Cricetulus griseus: one gene and its partners. The protein of the gene in region 1 binds, or shares a complex with, the protein of each later gene. Links are inferred from orthologs where the notes say so. Each region holds a gene or a part of one and is shown on either strand. Other genes may lie near its edges. The genes, in order: Strip1, Strn, Stk25, Stk24, Stk26, Ppp2r1a and Strn4.

Evidence for each region.
Region 2: Strip1 (region 1) and Strn share a complex: the UniProt entries of both Homo sapiens proteins name them as parts of the core of STRIPAK complex. The link is inferred for Cricetulus griseus from reciprocal best matches to the Homo sapiens genes STRIP1 and STRN.
Region 3: Strip1 (region 1) and Stk25 share a complex: the UniProt entries of both Homo sapiens proteins name them as parts of the core of STRIPAK complex. The link is inferred for Cricetulus griseus from reciprocal best matches to the Homo sapiens genes STRIP1 and STK25.
Region 4: Strip1 (region 1) and Stk24 share a complex: the UniProt entries of both Homo sapiens proteins name them as parts of the core of STRIPAK complex. The link is inferred for Cricetulus griseus from reciprocal best matches to the Homo sapiens genes STRIP1 and STK24.
Region 5: Strip1 (region 1) and Stk26 share a complex: the UniProt entries of both Homo sapiens proteins name them as parts of the core of STRIPAK complex. The link is inferred for Cricetulus griseus from reciprocal best matches to the Homo sapiens genes STRIP1 and STK26.
Region 6: Strip1 (region 1) and Ppp2r1a share a complex: the UniProt entries of both Homo sapiens proteins name them as parts of the core of STRIPAK complex. The link is inferred for Cricetulus griseus from reciprocal best matches to the Homo sapiens genes STRIP1 and PPP2R1A.
Region 7: Strip1 (region 1) and Strn4 share a complex: the UniProt entries of both Homo sapiens proteins name them as parts of the core of STRIPAK complex. The link is inferred for Cricetulus griseus from reciprocal best matches to the Homo sapiens genes STRIP1 and STRN4.

The regions. Positions count from the first base shown.
Region 1 is NW_023276806.1:49,527,713-49,532,003, forward strand, and holds the start of Strip1 (striatin-interacting protein 1), read left to right. Parts: upstream 1-1,491; 5' UTR 1,492-1,510; coding exon 1,511-1,690; intron 1,691-4,291. UniProt on the Homo sapiens protein: Plays a role in the regulation of cell morphology and cytoskeletal organization. Required in the cortical actin filament dynamics and cell shape. Part of the striatin-interacting phosphatase and kinase (STRIPAK) complexes.
Region 2 is NC_048600.1:5,360,587-5,364,086, reverse strand, and holds part of Strn (striatin), read right to left. Parts: intron 2,629-3,500; coding exon 2,542-2,628; intron 2,066-2,541; coding exon 1,922-2,065; intron 1-1,921. UniProt on the Homo sapiens protein: Calmodulin-binding scaffolding protein which is the center of the striatin-interacting phosphatase and kinase (STRIPAK) complexes.
Region 3 is NC_048595.1:445,066,409-445,069,686, reverse strand, and holds the end of Stk25 (serine/threonine-protein kinase 25), read left to right. Parts: intron 1-196; coding exon 197-268; intron 269-1,350; coding exon 1,351-1,487; intron 1,488-2,134; coding exon 2,135-2,174; 3' UTR 2,175-2,778; downstream 2,779-3,278. UniProt on the Homo sapiens protein: Oxidant stress-activated serine/threonine kinase that may play a role in the response to environmental stress.
Region 4 is NW_023276807.1:271,175,076-271,178,575, reverse strand, and holds part of Stk24 (serine/threonine-protein kinase 24), read left to right. Parts: coding exon 1-83; intron 84-304; coding exon 305-462; intron 463-3,500. UniProt on the Homo sapiens protein: Serine/threonine-protein kinase that acts on both serine and threonine residues and promotes apoptosis in response to stress stimuli and caspase activation.
Region 5 is NC_048604.1:19,058,861-19,061,883, forward strand, and holds part of Stk26 (serine/threonine-protein kinase 26), read right to left. Parts: intron 2,977-3,023; coding exon 2,819-2,976; intron 2,099-2,818; coding exon 1,913-2,098; intron 912-1,912; coding exon 763-911; intron 1-762. UniProt on the Homo sapiens protein: Serine/threonine-protein kinase that acts as a mediator of cell growth. Modulates apoptosis. In association with STK24 negatively regulates Golgi reorientation in polarized cell migration upon RHO activation.
Region 6 is NC_048602.1:19,078,518-19,082,017, reverse strand, and holds part of Ppp2r1a (serine/threonine-protein phosphatase 2A 65 kDa regulatory subunit A alpha isoform), read left to right. Parts: intron 1-3; coding exon 4-118; intron 119-223; coding exon 224-294; intron 295-716; coding exon 717-851; intron 852-2,470; coding exon 2,471-2,644; intron 2,645-2,969; coding exon 2,970-3,030; intron 3,031-3,500. UniProt on the Homo sapiens protein: The PR65 subunit of protein phosphatase 2A serves as a scaffolding molecule to coordinate the assembly of the catalytic subunit and a variable regulatory B subunit.
Region 7 is NC_048602.1:11,451,216-11,454,715, forward strand, and holds part of Strn4 (striatin-4), read left to right. Parts: intron 1-537; coding exon 538-644; intron 645-1,190; coding exon 1,191-1,264; intron 1,265-2,398; coding exon 2,399-2,477; intron 2,478-3,500. UniProt on the Homo sapiens protein: Calmodulin-binding scaffolding protein which is the center of the striatin-interacting phosphatase and kinase (STRIPAK) complexes.

The DNA of each region.
Region 1 (4,291 bases):
TTTTTTTTGTTTGTTTGTTTTTTGACAGATCCTCCTCAAGTAGTACACCTCAGTGCAGAGGTGAGCAGGTAACCCAGAGTAAATGAGACAGCTACAAAATGAAGGCAGAGATGCCAGGGTTTTCTGGTTACCTTTGGGCCCAAATAAGGAGTTAAGGCCTTTTCAGCAGGAGCAGTTTCTAGGTGCTTGGTACATACATTACCCCCTTCCTCACAATTTCTGTATGTTAAACTTATTTTCATTTTCTGTGTTTTATTTGCTCATTTGGTTATATCCCCCATGTGACTGTAGACTCCACAAAGACTGGAATCCTGTCTCTTTTGTTCACTATTATAGCCTTAAAGTCTGTCAGTGGTTTGGTGACAGAGACACAGCTTCACACTATCATCTTTAGCAGTCCACGGAGTTCCTCCAATCTTTCAGGGACATCAACTCAGGCCAATTCAGGATTAAGTTGTTTTTTTTTTTACGTGTATGTTTTTTTTTCCTTTTTCTTTTGTATGTATACCTCAAACCAGAGTTTGTGTCTTCAATGCAGAAAATAATTTCAATATTATCCAGTATGAAGCAGAGTTATGAAGATAATCTAATATAGACTTTAGGCATGAGGGTTAGGAGAAGGTTGCTTAAAGACATATCCACACTTGGCTATGTCCTCTTCAAGGGAGAGATTTCTTTGAGTGTCCTAGTATTAGCCATAGGTACCATTTTGGTGGCTCTCAAGTTACAAAGCTAAATCCCCCACTCTGGCCAGGCAGTGGTAGCACAAACCTTCTTTATTCCCAGTCCTCTGGAGGCAGAGGCAAGTAGTTCTTTGAGTTCAAAACCAGCCTGGTGTACAGAGGGAGTTCCAGGGCAGCCAGGACTACGAAGAGAAACCCTGTCTCAAAAAACAAAACAAAACAAAACAGAATCCCCTCCCCCCCCACACTCCATCCCGTGCATTATTTTCTCTTTTGATACTAAGATTCTAACGAGGCTCCAGATAAAGCAAAACCAGGAGTTCCTAGGGTTGCACAGAGGTTTGCAGTGCAACTTGCAGACTCCTACAAACTTGCAGGTTTTCCAGCTGAGGGATGGGGGTGGGGAGAGCCACAATCAGTTGTTAATTGTACTGAAATTCTTCTCTGGTAGTAAGAGGCTTCAACTAGACCCATGGGTAAGGGATTCCTTTCTCTACTGAGGTCTTCTGAATTTCCCCTTTCATTTTGCCTCACCTTGAACGGGGCTGTGACGACAGCGCAAAGCGATGTAGAGTAAGGAAGAGACCACTAAATAAACCGAAGGAGTGAAATGTCACCGACAGAAAGGTCCCTGTAGGGACTCCCGCGAGCCCAATGGCACGTCTCTCGTTTAGTTTCCCTGGAAGGAGGTGATTGGCAGTCACGGCTTTCCACACAACACCGCCACACTGAAGATGGCGATTGGGGAAATTTCCTGGAGGAAATCACGCGAGAGTTGCCTGACGGAGCCCGTCCGAGAATTGAGCCGGGGGTGTGGAGCAGCCAAGATGGAGCCGGCCGCCGCCGGTCCCGGCCCTCTGATTGTGAACAACAAGCAGCCCCAGCCGCCACCCCCTCCGCCGCCCGCCACCGCACAGCCTCCTCCCGGGGCGCCGAGGGCCGCTGGGGGCCTCCTGCCGGGGGGCAAAGCTCGCGAGTTCAACCGCAACCAGCGCAAAGACTCGGAGGTCAGAGCTGCAGGGGGCGAGGCTGCCCCTGGGCGGGTGGCAGAGGGGGTCCCGGGCCCGGGCAGCTTCCGGGCCCAGCCGGGCTTCCGGGAGGCTTGACAGGCGGGCTGGCGGCTGTCATTTGACCGAGACCCATGACGCTCCCGCGGCCCCGGGGAGGGAAGCCCGGAGCCCTGTCACTGACTCCTGTGCGGCCGGCCGGCCCGGGGAAGGTCCGGGAGCCGGGGACAGCCGGCCGGTCTCTCCCGGGGGCGTGACCCGAGGCACAGCCCTGGGGTCCAGAGGAGGCGGTCTGCTCTCAGCGCCTCATCATTTCCGGCCCCTAATCTTGGGCGGGCGGTGGGAGACGCCAGTTGGCAGCGAAGGGACCTGAGAGAGTTTATTGGGTGCTCAGAACAGGGCTTGTATCTCTCTCTAATGCTGCGTGGCCCCAGGTTGTGATAGAAGCAGAGAGAGCACCCTGGGTTCCCTCCGAACTTTAAGTCTGCAGGATCAGGCCATGGGCAGACCCTGACAAGCGTTTTTGTGTGCCCCGTGAACCCAGTGCTGAACTGTTAAGGATCAGAAGTACACAAAGGGCGCAGGATTCTCCTTCTTGCTAGTGAGCTGTGTTTCCCTTTGCCCGCGCACTATGGAGCCGTTCACCTCGCCCCAAGTTAAAATTCCTCCCACTGCTTCCGTTTGCAGAATTCATGAATGAACACACACCCGTGGCAGCATTTTAGGGCTTCTTAATCAGCACATTCATTCCCAGAGCACTTACTATGCAGTCTCCACCTGAGACAACTCCCAGTGTGATGAGCAGTCAGGCGCTTACTGAGAGGGAATTCCTCATTATCCAAATTTGATGCTCCAGCTTGAACCAGAGACTAATGATACTGTCTTTAGACATCAGTTCCTTTCATCGTTTTTTGTTGCAGGCTCAAGTCCTGCTAAAACATGTTGCAGATGAACAAGCCCAGAGTAGAGAGGTTGAACTTAGAGTGGCCTTTTTGAAAAAACAGAAGTTGAACCCTTTATTGTGGAACAATGGATCATCAGTGGCTACTTCTCAGTGACCATTCAAGTATGGAGGAGTATGAAAGTTTTAAGTTTGTGAGCACACCTTCTTTAATGACCAGACTTGTTTAGTTTTTCTGAATAGGATGCTGAGAATCGATTAATACCCACAGGCTCTTTTGGGGGTGGTGGTGGAGAGGTGGTTCAGTGGTTAAAAGCAGTTGCTGCCCTCAGAAGACCTGAGTTTGGATCCCAGCACCCATATTGGGCAGCTCACAACTGCCTTTAACTCCAGCTCCTAGGGATCCAATACCCTCCTTCTGACCTCCAGGGGAACTTGCATGCATACAGATAGACACATAAAATAAATCTTAAAAAAAATGTTTTACCTGCTGGCAAGATGGCCCAGCAGGTAAAGAAGCTTTAAATTTTCCTAAATACATAGCCTATCATGCATTTTATTATTATTTTGTGATTCTGAGAATCAAATTCCAAGCCTTGTGTAAGCTAGGCAAACATTGTACTGCCAAGCTACATCCTCAACCTCCCATAGACATTTTAATTTCTCTTTCTACCCTTTAATTTCAGCAGAGTCGGCATCTAAAGGCCCATCAAATAGAGAGATCTATCTACTTGCATTAGAGATGCTTATGCTGCACACTTCCTCTAATGACAGCTGAAATCAGTAGTTTGGGAATCTGATCAGTGTCTAGACAACAGGAGGCTGACATCGAGGAGAGAGAGCTCAATATGTGCTGCATTAATTTTGTTAGTCTTCAAAAATAGCGAAGGTAGCCTAGCATGCTTCTAGTCTCAACACACAGGAAGCTGAGAAAGGGGGATCAGAGATCAAGGCCAGCCTGGGCTGCACAGTAAAACCTTGTCTCTACATAAATACATTGGGAGGGGGTAAGAAAGGGTAATGGATTAGGTTATGAATGTGATCACAATACATTGTATAATATGTATGAAGTTGTCAAAAAAAAGTCATAAGAAAAAGTTCCAAGCAGATTTTTTTTTTTTTGTCATTCGCATCCAGTAAATGAAAAACTCAACCTCAGCAATACATGCTACTGTTGATTTTATTTGTGTTTTGGTGGTACTGGGATGTGAACCCAAGACTCTGCACATTAGGTAATCATTCTACCACTGAACTATATACCTAGCCTAGAAACTCAGTAGCTTGTAAAAGTGTTCACTGTTGTCCATTAATAAGGAGTAGAGTTATTGTTTGGGGGTATATTATGCTATTTTGTCAGTGGTCATTATTATAAGGTTCTCTCTGACCCCACCCTCCATCTAACTTGCTTCCTCCCCCTCACCCCCAATGCTGAAGATTAAGCTCAGGGCCTAGCACATGTTAGGCAAGGTCCCCTACACTGAACTGTATCCTCTGGGTCTTCCAAGTACATTTTAATCAAGATGGTTTTATCCATTTTTTTCTTGCTGTTTCTCTCTTCCCAGTACCAGTTTTCCAAGATGGCATGTTCTCAGGAATCACCTATCCCTAACAGATTCTCAGTGCATTCTCTCCTGTGTGTGGGAAGAAGGCCAATCTGTTCCGTTTCTGCTTTCTCTGTCTGTTAGTTTTCACTGAAAATT
Region 2 (3,500 bases), on another chromosome or scaffold:
TGCCTTTTCCAGAGGCTGCTTCACTGACTACAAATATTTAAGATGAATTTAACAATTCAAAAGATTTGCTAAAGAGATGTTATTTTTAAACAAAGAAGTGAGTTAATTATATCCAGTACACAACAGACTTAAAAGTTGTTTTTCAGTGCTACAGTTAATCATGTTTAATAATAGGTACTTGTTGAAGACATTAAATAATAGTTGCTTGCTTTTAATAGCTGGCCTTAAAACAGTAGTGGTGTCTGGGTGTGGTGGTGCACACCTTTAGTCCCAGCACTCTGGAGGCACAGGCAGAGGAACCTCAAGGCCAGCCTGGTCTATTTAACCAGCTCAGGCTAGTCAGGGATAAATGGTGACAAAAACCTAGTAGTAGTAACAGAAACTCAAAATCTTCATCAGGAAAAAGACAGTTACTGTAGAATAAAATAGAATATAAATTAAACCACTATCAAACCACATACACACAAGAGTAGCATTAATAAAAATGAGCCTCATCTAAATGCTGCATGTCATTTGAAGGGTTCAAAGAACCCTAGTGTTTGCATAGTGGAAACTGTCCAAACAGTAATTTTCAGGCCAAAATATCAAATACTTCATGTGTGCCTGGGAGACTAGGTATTCAGCAGTTGTCTTTAGTTTATTCTGTTTTTCATTTCTAATCTCTCTCTCTCTCTCTCTCTCTCTCTCTCTCTCTCATTTGTTTTTTGAGACAGAGTTTCTCTAGGTAACAGTCCTGGCTGTCCTGGAACTCACTCTGTAGACCAGGCTGGCCTTGAACTTACTGAGATCCACCTGCCTCTACACTCTGTAGACCAGGCTGGCCTTGAACTTACTGAGATCCACCTGCCTCTACACTCTGTAGACCAGGCTGGCCTTGATCTTACTGAGATCCACCTGCCTCTACCTCCTGAGTTCTGGGTTTAAAGCTGTACACCACCATTGCCCAGCCCACTTCTATAAATTCGCTTGTCCTGAAACAGTAAGTCTCCTGAGACTGGCCACAGCATGGGTTAGTACTAACTAATAGTCTAAGAAGGTCTAGTCAGTAGTCAGAGAAAGCAACAGGCACATCATGTCTCTAAGAAGGTAGGCATCTTGTTCTCTTTAGCCTCAGAAGTTAAGAAACAGGTTACAGTGCTTTGGGTAACTAAATACTGATGCCCTTAAAGAGCTTTTAAAAAACTAACTGGAATTCTAATATGACATCAAGGGGACACCATCTGTCTCCTTCACTCACTCCTCTACCCTAGTGCAGGAGTTAAAACTGAGCTCTGTGTGATAGGAACATGCTCTATCACCAAGTGTAATATGTAGCATTAAAGCTGAGCTTGAAAAATTATCAACATATGATTTTATGTTAAACATAAAACAAAACAGAGCTATTCTACATAATGGCTGTAATTATGTTTAAAAAAATATGCAAGTGGATAAGGACTTTTGAAAGGCAATGGAAACATGGGAAGCAAGAAACCAGGTAACTTTCCCTCCATTTTGCTGTTGCTTTGAGATAGGATCTCACTATGCCACCTTTGACTGCTCTGGAACTTGCTCTGGAGACAGGTTGGCTTCAAACTCTCAGAGAACTGGTTTCCTCTGCCTCTGAGTGCTAGGATTAAAGCATGTATCACCATATCTGGTGTTCCTTCATTTTTAAAATCAATGATAAATTAAGTATGCTGACTTTCACAGTGAACATTTAGTACCAATTTTAGACTCAATTTTCTCAAGGCTGAACTGAATAAGCCTGTTACCACTCTTGTCAATGGAGCTAGGGCATATTCCAAAGCAGAAACTAAGAGCAGTTCTAAAATTTATGCCTCTCACCCGAAGCTGGAGTCATCCCCACTGACTTAAGAAAGCAGTGTGTGCGGGCTGGGTGCTCTCTAAGGTGCCTGTACCAGCCACAGGTCCAGGTGCTCACCTTCATCTGCCCTCCTGATCTCTTGCTCAGGGAGCCTAGAGCTGCTGGGTCTGGAAGGGGAGCCAACAGACGGCTGCAATGAAGGAAGTTCATCTACATCTCTCAAATTAGCAAGCATGTCTTGTAGTTTTGACCTGTTGGGCCCTAGCCAAAAAAAAAAAAAGGGGGGGGGGGCGCAGAGGAGAAAAAACAAAAGAGAAAACAGAATCACTCATTTCATAAAAACTGTACAATAAACTTTTTCACATCTGCCAACATTCACCTTTAAAATGTCCTACTAGAGTGATCAATAAGAAGTAGTTATTTTCGAGGTTTTCAAAGTTTAAGAGTTTATCATTTCTGGAAAAAAATGATATTTAAATACATGTTTTATAAATTAAGTTAATGGAATCACTACATGAAAAAGAATGCCATGTCCAATATGTATCATTAAAAGTCATATTCATCTACAATGAACCCAATGACTATTGGTCTAAATGAAGACAATCACAGATCATGAACCAAATGTAAACTCAATTGAAAAATAACGTCTCTGCTTGTTTAAATTAAGTTACATTCATTGCCTTACATCCTGCAGCTATGGAACCCAAAGTGAAGTCTCATGCCCTATTGTCACTTACCTGGGCTTTGATTCTTCATTCTCCCACATCCCTGTTTTGACTGTTTTATATAGGATAGAGGCTGAAACAGATCTTCGGTAGTTTTTCCTGTTACAAGTTTAATTAAGAATGGGAAAATCTTACCCATAGTCCGTTATGGTATTTCCTATACATACCATAGCAAAGAATACAACTATTTCTAAGCTATTTTAACTAATTCCTAGAAAATTAAAGATAATGTGACTGGAGTACACAATTTGACTGGATATACTTACAGTAGACCAATTAAAAACAACAAGAAGTTTACAGTGGGTAACAGCTCAATTAAAAAGTATATTTTGGTGGCTTATAAATTAATGTTTCTTATACCAATTCAAAGCTTTACTTCATTTTCCTCTTTATCACAGGTCTTCACTTGTCCTCATATTACTGTTTTAACCAAATAACAAGTGAAAAGAATAAATAAAATGTGCTGGCCTTAGTCTACACTCCTTATCGTCAGTGCAAATCATTCACATTTCTCCCCAGAGAGTTAACACTTCTTCATTTAAAAAGCCCATGTGCTATATATTTAAATATAGTTATCAATCCCCAGGAGCAGGGAACTCAATTGCTTCTGCTAGTAGGAATACTATTCCAGTCAAATGGTGCAGGTTTAGATCTGAAAGGCTAAACTCTAATCACAATGTAAGAGGAGATGAGTTCCACAGAAGTCTTGGCTACCTTTCTAATTAAAAAATCTTTACATCCCAACATACTAATTTTATAACATAATATGCCCAAAAAATACATCGACATTGGTTTTTAGTCTGGAAATAATTTCTAATGTACGATATACAAATTATCTTCAACATTTTAGTTTAACTAGCTTGAGAATGGTTCTAAAAGCCATAGAAATTCATGTGTCAATATATATTTTAAGTTTAAAGTTTTTTAGCATATTTGAATAAAGGGATTAAATAGTTTTGCTTTAATGTTAA
Region 3 (3,278 bases), on another chromosome or scaffold:
AGCTAGCTAGGAGTCATGCCAAAGCCTGGGTCTGCTGGTGCTTAGGTGCAGGCCTAATGAGAACTGATGGCTTATCGTTTGGGAGTTGACCTCTGGTGTGTACTCTGTCAACCTGCTTAAGCCAGAGACTGAGGAGACAGGGAAGGAATCGTCTTATCTCTTCCATGTACCCAGTGCCTCGCTTTCTCCCTTGCAGCCTACTGAGCCTATCAAGAGACAGCCAAGGTCCCAGTGCTTGTCCACGCTAGTCCGGCCTGTCTTTGGAGAGGTGAGAGTTGGGCTGAGCTTATGGTCATGTGGGGTAGTAGCATTGTTCTTCAGAGGTGCTCCCTGCAGAGCCATGGTATGGTGTTCTCGTGGGCCCTGAGCCTGGGCTTTATCTATTTGACTTCTGGGTCTGCTGCAGCTGGTTCTGCACAGGCTTGTGTGTCCAGTTTCCTGAGAAGGTCTGTACCATAACCCACTGGGAATAACTGACCTGGCCAGGGCCCTTTTACTAAAGTCATCTGGCATTACAGTACTAGTGTTTTGTACTGTCCAACTTCCACGTGGTTCTTCTGTGGAGGAAGACAAAGAATCACTGATGTTGGGTCAGTCCTAGGCCAGGGAGGTGATTCCTTGGTGGTCACGTATGTCACTGTTGCCTGCTGAGGGAGGTCAAAGCCAACATCAGAGATACAGTGCAACAAGCTGGGCGTGGTGGCGCACGCCTTTAATCCTAGCACTTGGGAGGCAGAGGCAGGCGGATCTCTGTGAGTTTGAGGCCAGCTTGGTCTACAGAGCAAGTTTCCAGGACAGCTAGGACTGTTACACAGAGAAACCCTGTCTCAAAAACAAAAACAACAGAAAGAGAAATGCAGTGTAGGCTTACAACAGCACCTAGATCCCAGAGAGGAAGTACAGGATGTAGGTGAATGGACACAGTGGGCAGAGTAGGATTTGGCAGTGTCCTTAGCCAGAGTAGGAAACAGCCACTTAGGGCTGTTATGGGCATCAGACAGTGATGCCCAGGGCCAGGAAAGTGACTCCTTAAAGTAGACGTGCCATCAGGGGCTGAGGTCCCAGAATCGGTTACCAACGCTCCGCATCTGATCTGGGCCGTCAATGTCCTTGCCGTGTGCTCCGGGACATTGTACTCATTTCTAAGTCAGACTGGGCCCACTTGATTTGACTTCCTGAACTTGAGTCTTTAAGAAGCCATTTGTCCTGACCTTTTGAGAACCCGGGTCTTGGGAGAAGGGCCACGAGAGTCCCCATCAGCAGGGCCACATGAAGTGCTTCCGCAGGTCTGTAGATCTTCTGGTGTGGGTCTCAGGTAAGATATCAGTTGGGTACCTGTTCTCTCTGCAGCTCAAAGAGAAGCATAAGCAGAGCGGTGGGAGCGTGGGGGCCCTGGAGGAGCTAGAGAATGCCTTCAGCCTGGCTGAGGAGTCGTGTCCTGGTATCTCAGACAAGCTGATGGTGCACCTGGTGGAGCGTGTGCAGAGGTGAGCACGGTGCCCTGACCCAGGTAGGGTATCCTCGTAGGGGACTCATTCTTGGGAGCAGCTGGTCCTCCTCTTTCAGGGTTAGCACACACTCTCAATTGTATCTTTGGAGTTAGAGAGGGAGAGGCAAGTGGGCCTCTTGAGACTTTGAGCTATGCATGAAGGTTGGACTCAGTCTCAGGCAGTGTTTGGACAGAATTCCACAAAATGGCTCAGTGACAGAGCATTGTGTACAGCTGACATCTGACCTTTCTACTTGGTGGCTTCCTAGAGGTTCTGTGCCCCAGGAACAGCATGGATACTTTGTAAGCTGAGGACTTGCCTGCTATTGATGGGGAGCCTTGAGCTGACTCCCGTCTGTGAAGGAACATGCAGGGCAGCCACTGGCCCTTCCTTGGCAGCTCCACAGGCTCAGGGGTCCCAGGCTGTTAGAGGCAGGTGTACCAGTCCCTCCTCCCATAGCCTCTGGATCCTGTTACTGTACACTAAGAGACCCACCCTGGTGGTTCTTAGCAGCAGCAGCAGGGTTTGGTCTAGTCAGCACTGAACCTGGGACCTGAAACTCTGACGGTATCTTGTGAGATGCTGCTGGGAACTGCACATGTGAAGTTCGTGTCCAGCATGGTAATGGTACCTTTCTCTTACAGGTTCTCACACAGCAGGAACCATCTGACATCTACCCGCTGAACGACGGACTGATGCACTGCTCTTACAGAGAGGGAGAAGAAGGCTTTTTGTTTTGAGCTCTAAAAGGACTGACTGGGAAGCCCTCTTGTGCTGCGTCACAATTGCAAAGACCTGCCAGCCTGTAGGCTTCACGCACCAGGTTTCCTTCCTTCGGCCCGCCATCGTGTGCTGCCCGCACAGCAGCCGCTCAACACCCGTGTTCTCCTGGGCTCACTGAAGCTGCGGCAGGCAGCCAGGAGCCCTTGAAGAACCAGGTAGCAATTTGGGAGGCGCCGGTGTGACCTTCTAGAATCCCGGGCCCCTGCAGCTGCTAGACTAAGGATGAAAGCGACTACTGGGCAGCTCTGGCTCTCACCCTACACCAGGGATGTATTGTCCTGGGGCTCATAGGGGTCCAAGATGGTCACAACTTGCCTTGTGGTGTCAGGTCAGGCACTGTGTGATCTCATGGGTACTCTGAATCGTTCAGAGTATTTTGGGCCTTTCTTTTTTCTTTTTAAAGAAATTGAACTTGCTAAGTATTCTGACAGTGTTAGTTTTCATAGAGCATTGAAAGCCCTATCATTTCAATAAAGACCTGGATTGGAGACATTCTGATGATGGAGCCTGGCCAGATGGGGGTGTCTGTATCCTTAGCGTCCCTTCCAAATGTTGTCATATATCCTGATAGTTTCTTGTGGCCTGCTGGAGAACAAAGTAAGGCAGAGAGGATGTGGGTGGGGATATGTCCTTTTATTTTAAAGTCACATAGTGAACAGGAGTCATAGGCCTGCCCTAGTTGATGAGAAATACTAGGAACTAATATGGAGAGGCTCCACCCTCCCAGGCCTGGTGGTGGTGGTGGGGCCGGGATCTTTGGTTTCCTCTTGTCTAGACAGTGTGTGGAGATGGGAACCAGAGTAGCTTTGGCCGCACTCCTGTCTTGCTCTGATCTGGAGGCTAACCCTGAGCTTATCACATAAGCCTGAGTATAGTGCTTGTGTGAATTTGGCTATTGGTGCTACAGGTTTGTGGAAGCATCTGGTCCTGTGTTGGGGGCCAGTCAGCCAGGCTGCACTCAGAACAAACTGAGGAACCCTCATTTCCTTTTCCTGGATCTCAGAC
Region 4 (3,500 bases), on another chromosome or scaffold:
TCAGATTGCTACCATATTACGAGAAATTCTGAAGGGACTTGATTATCTACACTCTGAGAAGAAAATCCACAGAGACATTAAAGGTAGGAGCTACTCTTGTTTTCATTTCTTTGAAACACCTGAAGTGGCGGAGCCTTCCGTACCTCTGTCCTGCCTACTCTGCATCAAGCTGAACTGTTGTGAACCTCTGGGCACCTTGCTATTACAGGCCCTTGTGCCCTGTGGGGAAAGCATGCCTGGACTCCCAGGGTGAGCCTGGGTGGGTATAACTGTAATGATGTCCCCCTGCTTGGTTGTCTTGCAGCTGCCAACGTTCTGCTCTCTGAACATGGGGAAGTGAAGCTGGCTGACTTTGGAGTAGCTGGCCAGCTGACCGATACCCAGATCAAAAGGAACACCTTCGTGGGCACTCCCTTCTGGATGGCGCCCGAGGTCATTAAGCAGTCAGCCTATGACTCAAAGGTGAGAGAGAGCCTGTGCTGTGGACCCACGACATTCAGATGTCTGTCCCCTTTCATTTTTGCATCCGTGTCTTTCCTTCCGTACCTGAGGTAGGTTGTAGAGGTAATTCTGTGAGCTTCCTTCTTCATCTCCCGCTGTGCTATTGGCTATCTTGTTCTTCTGGCCTTGGTGTGTGTTTGATCTGGTGGGGCCAGGAAGGAGCAGATACGAGGGTGGGCATAGCTTCAGCCTTCTGAGACATGCAGACCCTGGATAGATGGCTCGTGGCAGGCAATGCCGCAGCACAGGAGCACCAAGGTGGGTGGGATCTTGGCACAGTGATGAAGGGCAGGGCCTGGACAGAGCTCAGCCTGCTCTGTATAGATAGGGCTTCTAGAGAAAGAATCAGAGTGTAGTGGTATCTTGTTCCGACCATGGACTTGGGGTGGTGGCCACACCTTAGGGTGTGGCTTCAGTGTGTGACGATGGACGTGACCCCTTATAAGGAAGAGGAGGGGCTGGCTCGTGCTCTCTGAAGTTGTGGTTGGAGCATCCTTCAGGGCAGAGGCTGCCCACTGCATCAGAGAATCCACAGAGAAGCCCATGGCAGAATGGGGCAAGCATCATTCTATAGTGACTGCACCATGTGTTCTCATTTTGGTCTCAGGTCCTTACTCCCAGAGGCTGTGAGACAGCAGGAGACTGCAGTCCTCCCACAGTTGCTTGTTTTTCAGCTTCTGTACCTCGTGTTCATTGTTTTTTTGGTCCTTTAGTTTTTTGAAGCCTTGTAATAGGCCACTCCATTTGCTCGGGTCAGCGGCCTGTGCATAGTAACAATGATCATGGCAGAGAAGTAGCTTTCCTGAGTCCCAAACTTCACAACAGCAGCAAAAATTTAACTCAGGGATGCTCATAGGTCGAACATTGTTTTTTGTTTGTTTATTTATTTACGTGCGTGTGTGCGTGCGTTCGTCTATGTGAATATGCACGTATGAATGCTGATCCTTGGGAAGGCTGGAAGCATTAGGTCATCCCCGAGATGGAGTCAGGCTGCTCTAAGCTGTCTGACACAGGTGCTGGGAACCAGACCAGGATTCTTACGAGAACAGTGTGAGCTCTGAAATGTGTAGCTGTCTTTCCAGCCGCCAGTCCCCATCCCCTATGAAGACGGTTTTGCTCTGTTGCTGGAGTCTGACAAACTGGTGAGCTGCCTGCTTCAGCCTTCTGGTGTTGAGATTGCAATGATGTGTTAGCATGCCAGGCTCAAGCCTTTGTCACTCTTTCTTCTCTCTCTCTTCTTTTTAAGATAGGACCCTCCTCCATGTGTAGCAGCTTTCCTGGCTCATTAAATGGTGTGTGGAACATAGGCTAACTTGCCTTTGGGACCTTGGGTGGCTCTTGTAAGGTGTCATGGCATGTCATGGTGGGTGAAGGTGCAGCTGTCCCACGTTCTGGCTTGAGAGAACTCAGAGACTGGTGATGTGGTAGCTCGGGTAGGAGCTCTTTCCCCGGCATCCAGAAAGCAGCAAGTGTGCTTCAGGCTAGTCAGTTCTGCTCTCTGCATTTGTTGCCCAGGCCTTTTCCCTGAGTTCTGTCATACAGAAAGGTGGGTGTATTGTCCACAGCTCACTGTCAGTGCTCATGTCTGAATTTTGGTAGAAGAGGGACTAGAATCCAAGTTCCTTTCATTGCAGGTCATTCTCTTTCAGTTGCACTCAATTGGCTTTTCAACCATGGCCCTTAGGACTTGGAACCCAGGCCACCCATTTCTGTTTTACACATAGCCACCCCTTTTTTGTTTGCCAGAGAGCTCTCCTGATCTTGCTGTCATTCCAGAGCATCTCTAAAATGACTTTGTGGTACAGTTCAACCTTGGTTGTTTTGGGCTATGACTGTCCTCTCCTTACCTGATTTTCATTCGAATCCCCAGGTGCCACACGTCGTAAATGTAGTGATAGGCAAGGTTACGTTTGCTGGGATTTGGTAGAATCAGTTCATTAAGTTAATGGGCTATGGTAATGTAATTATTTGTTCTGAGGTAGAGTAAGTAATGCTGCTTGTGGAATGTTTGGGAGACGCCTTCTGTCTTCCTACTCACATTTGTTAGGGTAGGTTGGGTTTACACATGGATTCTTATTGTGGTCTTTGATTATGTGCCAAATGGCTTGGTGCTCATGGGCTCAGTGTCCAGGTTTGTCAGTGGGCTTCAGATGCACAGGGGGACTGCACAGGCTCCAGGTGCAAGGGCAGCTTAGCCAGGCTAGTGCTAGAAGGACATGGGACGGCTGGCAGTTAAAGCCTTGTCACATGGCCACACATCTGTCACCTGGCTGGGTTTAGATATTTCATAGTTTTGGGTGTTTTTGGTTTTTTTTTTTTGGACAAGGTTTCATTATATAACCCATTTTGGTCATGAACTTTCAGTTCCTCTGGCTCAACCTCCTTAGTGCCAGGATGGCACCAGGTTGTTCTCGGTTAGGACGATCCAAAGAGGACAGGTGAGAGTCAGGCCTTCCTTAATGCTCCTGTAGGTTGCTTTCCTATGTGTGGCTTTCTTGCTTCTTGTCACCTTCATGGTTCTGACTGGTACCCTGCCGTAAGGGTTTCTGGAACTTTCAAAGTTACAATGGCAAGTGAGTCCACTCCAAGTGGTTAAAGGTCAGCAATGTCCGAGTCCTGTAGTCACCTGAACAGGCCTTCTCTTGCCACGTGTAAGAGAGAAGGCTGTCCCTTCAGGGCCTGGTGATGAGTTCACAGGGCAGTGACGTGAGCAGAGGTGTCTCCCTCCACTGCAGGTCCCCATGTCAGCTGTTTGCCAGCCTGTTGTGTTGTTTGTTTTGAGTTGCTGACAGCCCTGCTCACTGTAGAGCAGCCCTAAGACTGCTGTGTGTTCCCAGTCTATCTGATGTGTCTTTCCCGGTGTGTTCTCAGCCTGGGTCCCGTGGACTCTGACATGAGACTCAGACTCAGCACTGGGGAGCCCTGCTGCCTAAGCCCATGTACCAATCACTTCAGTCAGTGCACAGTGGGTTCCTTAAATGGTGACTGTAGTGAAGGGC
Region 5 (3,023 bases), on another chromosome or scaffold:
GAATCACGAACCCTGTAGAATGCCTTGTGTTTTTAAAGTTCCATCAAGAAGTTTTCATGGGCAGTTAAGGTTAACAAGCCTTAAACTGGGCACAAACTACATACTGAGATATTTTATTCATTTCAAATATTGGGCAATTTCTCATAAATGCAGGTGCCTGAGAATATTGTGACGACATAGGGTGCTACCTCTGTGGAGGTCTACATACCAAAAGACTAAATCCTGGTTCAGCCCTTGAATTCTTCTACTCAAGTTAAGATGAGCACACAGAAGCAGAAATACTGGCATTTTTCAAAAAGACTAACTTGTCCATAGGGTAAAAACCATACATAAGTAAATAGTTGTCACAGTTCACGGATCAGTCTGATCAATTTGGTCTGGGACCAGGAAGTAGGAAGGGCTGTGACAGCAGTTCTCCAAAGGGTTTTGCAAGTTGTAATCACTGTATGAGAAAATAGCTCCTTATTGCTTCTCATGAACTAATAGAACACCTTTAATCAAATCGTATTCCAAAATTTTGTAATATACTCAAGTATCCACTAGGGGTTAGACCGAGACCATTTAAAAGCAGAGCTTTTCTCTTCCAAAGTGTGTTTCCAAGCTCATTGTATTCCATGAACCATCAAGAAACTTCACAGTGGCTGAAATGAGCCCTCACGGTGATTTATAACTTAGTTGAAAGCAAGCACACTAGGTCACTGCGAAAGGCAGAGCATATGAAAACAGGCTGCCAACATAAAAATAACAGTAACTTGTACATACGAGTCAGAGCCCTCGGAGTCCGATTCGTCATCACTGTGTCCTTCTGCCTTCCATCTCTTAAATCGATCGATCAGTTCGGTCAGATAAGAAGTCTTCTTTGAATTTTTTACAATGAACTTATGTTTCAAAAGTTCTTTTGCTGTAGGACGCTAAGGCACAGACACACACAAAGAAAAGGACTCATGACTATTTTGAGGATCTTTTGGGGAGAGACAGGTAGTAAAACACCATTTGAATTATTACACTGAAATCTACAAAACTGGATCTATGAACAGGAGGACAATTAAAATGTAATAGGAAAACTGACCATTTTATTTCTTCAAGTGGGTCAAGGTAGCCAATTGAAATTGGTTGTTTTAGCAGCCTGATTTGTTAAAGCACAGTAGACAGATGCTAGGATACCTCACCAGCATGCCACTCAACAAAGCTTTCTCAGCAATAGCGGGACTTAGAAAGTAACCATCTAAAAATGTCAAAACAACATTTAAGACACTTTATTACACTGACTGTAATTTTTGAAAAATCATGCAAATGAGCAAGATTGCTGTAATTTTGTTATTATCTGCACATCTTATGAATCCCTAATTTTGTCATTATCTGACCACATCTTAGTATATGCTTTTCTATCAAACACTAATTCTTATTGTACATGAATGCAAACAGCAAGTGCTGTAGGGAATATGTCCCCTTCAGTATTTCATTAATATTATAATGTTTACTGTCAACATAAAATGGTTACATCCAGCTTAGAAAGGTGCTCATGTATATTTAATCACCAGGAGTGAAAAGCAGCTTTATTTTAACAACACTAAGACATGTAATAAATTTAGTCAATTCCCTCACTAATGGCACATGCCTACTTTACTAAGTAAGTAATAGAAAGCTAATGAATTATTTCCCCAAACTTTTTTCTTGAAATAGAATATTATCAGGTAGCTGGGAACTAAGAAGATGATGTCAGGGAGGAAAAAACAAGACCAAGAATCTGGTTAAGAACAGAGTGGAATTAGCAATACAGAAGGAGAAACCAGCTTCGTGGGTGGATCACAGATGTTTTTCACATTGTATTCTCCATATAGGAAACACCACCTTTGTTAGAAGTAGATAGAACAATTGGAAACCACCAGTGGTAATAACAGCATATACTCACAAATGATGGATCTTTATTCAGGCAAGCATCAATGAATTCCTTAAAAGACTTAGTAAAGTCTCCAACAAGAGTTGGAGGGTTGTTTTTTGGAATAAGAAACAGAACTCTCATTGGGTGCATGTCAGAATTCGGAGGCTCTCCCTTGGCAAGTTCAATAGCAGTAATTCCCAAAGACCAAATGTCAGCCTAAAGCAGAAACAATAACACAAACTTTTTATCACATTGACATATCAAGAAATGTGGTGAATTATAATTTTAGTTAATGGAATTCATGAATTAACACTTTAAATCTCATATTTTGTACAGGCACAACACTAATTGAGTGCTAAATAAACCAGATGAAAGTCCTTGCCTTGAAGAGGCTTACATTCTAATAAGAGGGAAAGATAAATGAGTAACATGATGTCATATGGAACTAAGTTCTGTGAAGACACAAAAAGCAGAATAAGGGAATATCGAGCAAAGCAAAGAAAGGAGCTACATGTTTATGTGGGATGGTTAGGGATGTTTAGAGAGAGCTCACTGGGAGCTAGGCTATTCCAGACAAAGGGGAAAGCAAGAGAAAACTCCTGAGGTCAAAATGTACTTGTGTTTGAGGAACAATGAGGCCATAATAGCTGAGAGTACAGATGACAGTGGTAGAAGACAAGGGTGGATAGACATCAAATGGCCAGATCATCAGTGGCCATATATGTGACTATGAGGACTCTAGATTTTATTCCAAGTGGGTTGAAAAACCATTGAAATAAATAGGGCTCAAATATTACCAACACCAAAGGGATTTACGATTAAGAAACAAAATACGACATAATTTCTTTTAGAAGCACTTGTGAAGCAAGGAAAAATTAAAAAGCTTATTGACAAGGCCATATCCAATTAATTCCATCTGCATGTGGAATACTTTACTTTAGAGTCGTAAGCTGACTGTTGAATAACTTCAGGAGCCATCCAAAATGGAGTTCCCACAAAGGTGTTTCTTTTAATTTGTGTATCTGTCAGCTGGCCAGCAACTCCAAAGTCAGCAAGCTTAACATCACCTTGCTCAGAAAGCAAGACATTGGCAGCTAGGGGGCAAAGAAAAACAAAGTGAGTATCTCTCAGCTTCCCCAAA
Region 6 (3,500 bases), on another chromosome or scaffold:
CAGCTCCAGAAAGCAGTAGGGCCTGAGATAACCAAGACAGATCTGGTGCCCGCCTTCCAGAACCTGATGAAGGACTGTGAGGCCGAGGTGAGGGCCGCTGCCTCCCACAAGGTCAAAGGTTGGTGCTGGCAACCAGAACGCAGCTAGATGGGTGGATGTCGGAGAGGCAGCAATGGGATTGGGCCGTGGCGTCTCACCAGCACCTTCCCATCTCTGTCCACAGAGTTCTGTGAAAATCTCTCAGCTGACTGCCGAGAGAATGTGATCATGACCCAGATCTTGCCCTGCATCAAGGTAATGGCGTACTTGGGTGTAGGACTTGAGAATGCCAGAGAGGTGAAGATTTGGTTTTCAGTACAGTCCCATCCAAGCTAGATTTGCATCCTTCTAGGACACACAGGAACTGGGTTTTAACCATCATGGGTTTGGCTGTAGGCAAAATCGTGAGGGTTACACAACTGACCCTAAGGACCTAAGGGGTGTGTTTGCCCCTCAGAGGCCACCGAGTTCCCTCATCCACAGAGCTTGGGGAATGGGGCAGTGGCTGCTGGAAGCAGGGCTCACATAGCAAACAAGAGAGGACTTGTGAATAAGTGCAGTGCATGCCTGAGCTGCCCTGCCTATGTTACACGTGGGAGAGTGTGGTCTCCTCAGGCCAGCAGGGCTGAGGTCTGTGCAGCCACTCAGACACTGAGCTGCATCCTTCTCCTCCCCAGGAACTCGTGTCAGATGCCAACCAGCATGTCAAGTCAGCACTGGCTTCAGTCATCATGGGCCTCTCTCCCATTCTGGGCAAAGACAACACCATTGAGCACCTCTTGCCACTCTTCTTGGCTCAGCTAAAGGATGAGGTAATAGTACCAGGAAGGTTTTCAGCTCTTTGCAGAGATGACAGACTGCAGTTCGCCGGGTTGACCAAGAGTATTTTAGAGTCTTGGCACCACACAGCACACACCACACTCCCTTCTCAACGACAGGTGTGAGTGTCTGCTTGTTCACTCTTGTTAGACATGCTTCATGCGCCCTTCACATTGCACTCATCCTTCCCCTGAGTGCTGAGGGTATAAAAAAGACCAGGACAGTGGTGGTGATATTTACAGCCCCACAGAGTGTTCCCGTGGAGAGGAACAGACGTAGTTCCATTCAGATACTGTCGGTACTGGGAGAGGTGCGCCATGGTTTTTAGGCTCATGTGCCACAAAGCCCCTAATACAGTGGCATAGAAAGTTACCATTACTCCTCTCGCATCGTCCCAGCTGGTCCTGTGGTGAGGTATTAGCTTTGCTGGCCTGGCTTTCTTGGTCTGAGGTCACAGCTATAATTTTATCTCTTGGCTCATTGAAGGGCTTCTCTCTAGCTTGTGTCTTCTACATGTTCCATTGACATAGCCAGTCAGGTCACCATACTTGTCTGTGCAGGTGGCCTAGACCACAGAAAAGAAAAGATGTCACTGTGGTGACAGCTCAGGGAATTGGATTTGAATATGTAGACAAACGCAGTGGCTGAAAGAGATCTTTTTAGGAGAGTGTAGCCAGTATTAGGGAGAGGTGAGAGAAAGGGCCAGTGTTCTTGGGGTGCCAGCCCAGAGTGATGCTACCCATTCTAATTCTTTTTTTTCTGTTTGTTTGGTTTTTTGTTTGTTTGTTTTTAAGATTTATTTTTATTGATTATGTATAGTGTTCTGCCTGCATGTATCCCTGCAGGCCAGAAGAGGGCACCAGATCTCATTCCAGATGATTGTGAGCCACCATGTGGTGGCTGGGAATTGAACTCAGGACCTCTGGAAGAACACCCAGTGCTCTTAACCCCTGAGCTATCTCTCCAGCCCCCTTCTAATTCTTTAATGGAGCACTTTGATAGAGTACCCAGTAGCTGATTCTATAATGGCAACCCAGTTCCCAGGCTGGGACATAGATTTCCTCACAGGCTGTTCCTACTCCAGAAGTCTTTAGACAAAGTTAGTGAAGTCACTTGAAAGGTCTTAACATTCGCAGCTCTGGGTCCAGTTTCTATTACCACCACCATAGAAAAAAAACAAAACAAAACAAACTCTTCTGGGTTTGGGGTTTTCTGGAAAAGTTGCTTTCAGTGGCCTCTGTGAGGTCTATGCGTTTGTTCCTATAGATGTCTCTGCTCTGTGGCATGAGTGGGAATGGCTATGGACTGTAAATCAGGGTTCGCACTGCTTGGAGTCTGGCAGTTCTGAGACTCATCACATGTCCTCCCTGGTCTGGCATTAGCAGTTGAAGTGATGGGAATGATAGAGAATGGGTCCAGACACTAGCAACTCGGGCACATCGAGGGGCTCCCATTTCACTTTGCAGAGCCTCGGCTGCTGGGAGACTAGATGGCTGTTTGATTATTGCCCGTCACAGGCGATACCCAGAGGGGAGCTCTTGCCTGCTCCTGACACGCTCCTAGGGCCGCCGTATGTTTTGTGTTCTCTTAACCCGCCTGTCCTCTTCCCAAGTGCCCTGAGGTACGGCTGAACATCATCTCCAACCTGGACTGCGTGAACGAGGTGATTGGCATCCGGCAGCTCTCTCAGTCCCTGCTCCCCGCCATTGTGGAGCTGGCTGAGGATGCCAAGTGGCGGGTGCGGCTGGCCATCATTGAATACATGCCTCTGCTGGCTGGACAGCTGGTGAGTGAGGAGCCAGGTTTTGTTGGCCCTGAGGTGATAGATTTGGGGGTCTGATCTGGTCTGGTCATGGCCCCAGGACCAGGGCTGTGGTGCAGTTACTAGGGGCTTGAAGCCTTGGTGTAGGCATTGAGAGCTGCCTGTGGGGAGGACTGGACTCGGGAACTGGGCCCTCAGCAGATGCTGCATGGAGTTTAGGCAGAGGAAGAAGGCTGGTAGCTTTGACGGGTTCAGCATTGCCTGATTCTCTGGGACCCCTTCCTCCTCCCCTCCCTCAATTCCTTCTCCCTACCCCTCAGTCCCTTACCAATCTTTTTTTTTCCTGCAGGGTGTGGAATTTTTTGATGAGAAACTCAACTCTTTGTGTATGGCCTGGCTGGTTGATCATGGTAAGTACGCCAGCAACACAGTAGGAGGGGTTTGTAGCCATGGCAATGAACAGAGCTGCCATGTTTCCTTGCTATCAGTGCTCACTGGGACCCACTCTGTTGCTGTTAAAAAAAAAAAAAAATCTTGAGAGAAGTGAAGATGTGGGGTGGGTTATCTGGACTGGAGTTGGAGAGCCACCAAGCAGAAAGGCATGGATTTGAACCCTTCTCTTTGATGAAGCATAAGCAAGTCCCTTCCCATCTTGCAGCGTTACACTCATGTGTCTCTCCAGCCCTTGAGAGACTTGTTCCTAATAAGTGGATAAAAAAGAGTCACTGTTTTTTCTGTCAGGCAGTTTTAAGTAGTATGCATTAAATAACTTGAGATACAATTTGCACAAGCAGAGCCTCAGTTAGCATGCCTGAATAATGAGGCAAATGGAGTCTTTCTGTTTGGGTGGCCAGAAGGTGCTGTATGAGAAGAGACAGGG
Region 7 (3,500 bases), on another chromosome or scaffold:
GTGGGAGCTGAGCCCAGGCTCCTACTCTTGTCCCTGAGTGCCAGAAGTAGCTTCCTACGCCTCCCAGCAACAGACGCTCTGAAGGAAGAGTGGGCTGCCGCCTCCACCAGCAACCATAGGGACACAGCTGTTAATGCTTAACGCCCCCGCCCATCCCTGACCTAACTCCTCAGAAGGCCATAGCCAAGTCAGGCCATGCTGTCCCTGTTTGAACTCCATGGGTTAAAAATGGCTCCTCAGCTTCTCTTTCTTTTCTTTTTCCTTTTCTTCTTTGTAAGGTAGAGTCTTAATCTTAGCTCATACTAGACTTGAAGGTGTAGCAGTCCCTTTGCCTCAGCCTCCCAAGTGCTGAGATTATAGATTGAGCTCTTTTATGGGTAGTAGACCCGGAGACCCTGGAGGTGGGCCCAGCCTGTCCTCTCTTCTTATTGAACACTGGCATCGCTGTGGGGGAGGCCCTGAAGCTGTTCCTGAACTGGGGAGGGAGACACAGCATCAGTGACCCTCAGCCATGCTATCTAACTTTCTCTTCTGTCCCAGGCTCAGGTGGCTTTCCTCCAAGGTGAGAGGAAAGGCCAAGAGAATCTAAAGACGGACCTGGTGCGGCGGATCAAGATGCTAGAATATGCACTAAAGCAGGAGAGGTGAGAGCTGCCCCTGCCAGAGAGGTCACTGTTTCAGATAGGGTGGCAGGCTGCCAGCAGAGGAAGTTTCTCCACCTTCCTCTTCCCGTCATCCCCAGGAGCGGGGTGAAACAGATTGTGGTGGGTGGATTCAGCTGCCAGCAGCAGCTTTAGGGACTTTGGCAAACCTGTGTGCACCAATTCTGGACAGCTGCTACCTTGCTTATTCTTGCCACAGTCTGATGGTGTTGCTGGCTGAGGTTCTGGGAAGGAACTGAGGCTCTTAGAGCTGGTACTGTGGGGCAGGGAGTGAATGAAAGAGGCCTGGGACTTGGGCTTTCTGAGGTGGTCTTTGCCTTGTCTGCTTTTTTGTCTTGTTTTTCGAGACAGGGCCTTTCTGTATAGCTCTGACTGTCCTGAAACTTGCTTTGTAGACCAGGCTGGCTTTGAACTCGTGGAGATTTGTCTACCTCTGCCTCCCAAGTGTTGGGACTAAAGGCGAGCGCCCCCACCACCCAGCATCGCCCTGTCTACTCATCTCTACTCATTTGTTATTTGCTGTTTTAGGGCCAAATACCATAAGCTGAAGTTCGGGACAGACCTGAACCAGGGGGAGAAGAAGACAGATGTGTCCGAACAAGGTACCTGCACTTGCACCCTCCCTTGGCCACGCTGGCATGGCAGCTGCTTGGCATAGAGAGAGACGTTGCAGATGGCCTCCTGTGCTTTCTTACTTGGCTCCTTGAAAAGCAGCAGTGGCTGTAGGGTGGAGTGGGGTAGAGCTGCATGCTGGTGTGTCTTCCCATCAGTCCTGTTTCAGACTGCCCAGCCCCACCTGCCTGCCATCCTGCTGTCCTCAGGGCGTGATGGACGCCCCAGCAGCTCCTGCTTCCTCCTGCTAGGGGAGTGAGTGGAACTATTTATGGCATGCTTTGGAAAGCGTAGGAAAGACGTCACTGAAGAGGTGGTGTTTGCACTGGACTGTCATTCAGTCATTTACCCTCAAAAGTTGATACATGATGTGTTTGTTGGCTTCCTGTCACAGGACAGGGGCACGGTGAAGAGCAGGATAGATGTAGTCCTGTTCTGTGGGCACTGGAGGAGGGGCCAGATGCCCATGGGAGGGAGGGGATGGGTGTTTTCAGGTGAGCACTAGTATCCAGGCAGTGCGGGTAGACGGTGTGTTTGGCTGTGCCGCTGATGCTGGGAGCTTGGTCTAGGGCTTTGTGAAGCCCTTGGCCTCGGGGTCAAGGGAGGGAGGTCATCTTCTCCTGCCAAGATGTGAGTTCTTGATTGGTGTGGCCCAGGCGTCTATCCCAGCCTTATAGATGCCCAGTGGATACCCGATGAGCAATGCACAGAGCAGGTTTCCCAGCCAGCGTCTCCTCACCCTGAGAGGTGAAAGCTGTTTCATGGGAAGCAGGCTTTCGTAGGTGCTCAGAGCTGCTCTAGGAAGTGCAGAGCCGACTCGACCCCAGCCTGCCCACTTTGTAGAGCCAGTCTGCCCACTCCCTGCATAGGAAGGAGCAGCCAGCCATGCGTGTGGAGGCACGGCTCTGTTATTGGGGGCGGTTGGCAGCGGCCAGTCAGAAGCCTAGCAGTGAGGAGAGCATCCAAGAGAGGAGTCACTTGGTGTGGGAGAGTGGGTGGAATGCACTCAGGAGGTGGGGACAAGGGCGGTGATGGTGGCAGATTCAGACTTGATGGGAGAGGATGGAGGGGTGACAGGAAAGTATCCATGCCCCGACTGAGACGGCCTCCTCTCTTCTCTCTAGTGTCTAATGGCCCTGTGGAGTCGGTCACACTGGAGAACAGCCCGTTGGTGTGGAAGGAGGGGCGACAGCTTCTGCGACAGTGAGTGAGGGGGAGGGGTGGGACAGGATGGGGCATGAAACACACAGCATACTTGGCTCAGAAGATAAGCCCAAGGAATCCACAGTCCTTCCTGTCCCCACTGGGACATGAACTATCAGGATCCCACACTGCCGTCACCCGACGGGAATTAGAGGGAAGACTTGCAGCAGGGGCCACCTTCCCACACCCCAAACTCAACCCTGCATAGTTCTCTGACATTTCCTCTTAAAAGAATAATGTTAGGGGAAGTTATTTTTTAAAGAGTAAAGTTAAATTATAGCAATAGTAGTACCTGGGTGCTGTGGGTTCAACCCAGGTTCTCAGAGGACCTGGTGAGCCCTGTTGACTTGCCCTCTGAGAGGTGAGCTGTCCTATGTCTTAAGAGAAGAGAGGCCCAAACAGAATTGGTGGACCACCAGCCTCCAGCCAAATCAGGATTTTTGTTAAAGATTTTAGCATTTTAGGATACCTGAGAAGTAAATAGTACCACTTCTGAGCAAATATGACCCTGTACACATTGGCATCTCCACCATCCACCCCAACACTTGGAGAGGTGCCCCGAGTTGAGAGTGGTGTGCTCTGTACTGTGTTAAGAGCCGGGACTCTGCTTTTACTGTTCTTAGGTTTTGTAATGCTTTGACTAAGTATTATCAAATCCTCTGTATAGATTAGCTAGGTTATATAATGTTCAGAATCTCATGGGTGGAATGTGGCTTAAGGGTTGAGCCCTTACTTACTGTGGGCCAGGCCCTGGAGTCCATCCCCCCAGCACCATAAAAATCACCACCACCGCGGGGCGGTGGGCGGTGGGCGGTGGAGGCGCACGCCTTTAATCCCAGCACTCGGGAGACAGAGGCAGGCGGATCTCTGTGAGTTCGAGGCCAGCCTGGTCTACAAGAGCTAGTTCCAGGGCAGCCTCCAAAGCCACAGAGAAACCCTGTCTCGAAAAACCAAATTAAAAAAAAAAAAAAAAAAAAAAAAATCACCACCATGTAATAGGCACCCTTCTGGAAAGCCAGAGAT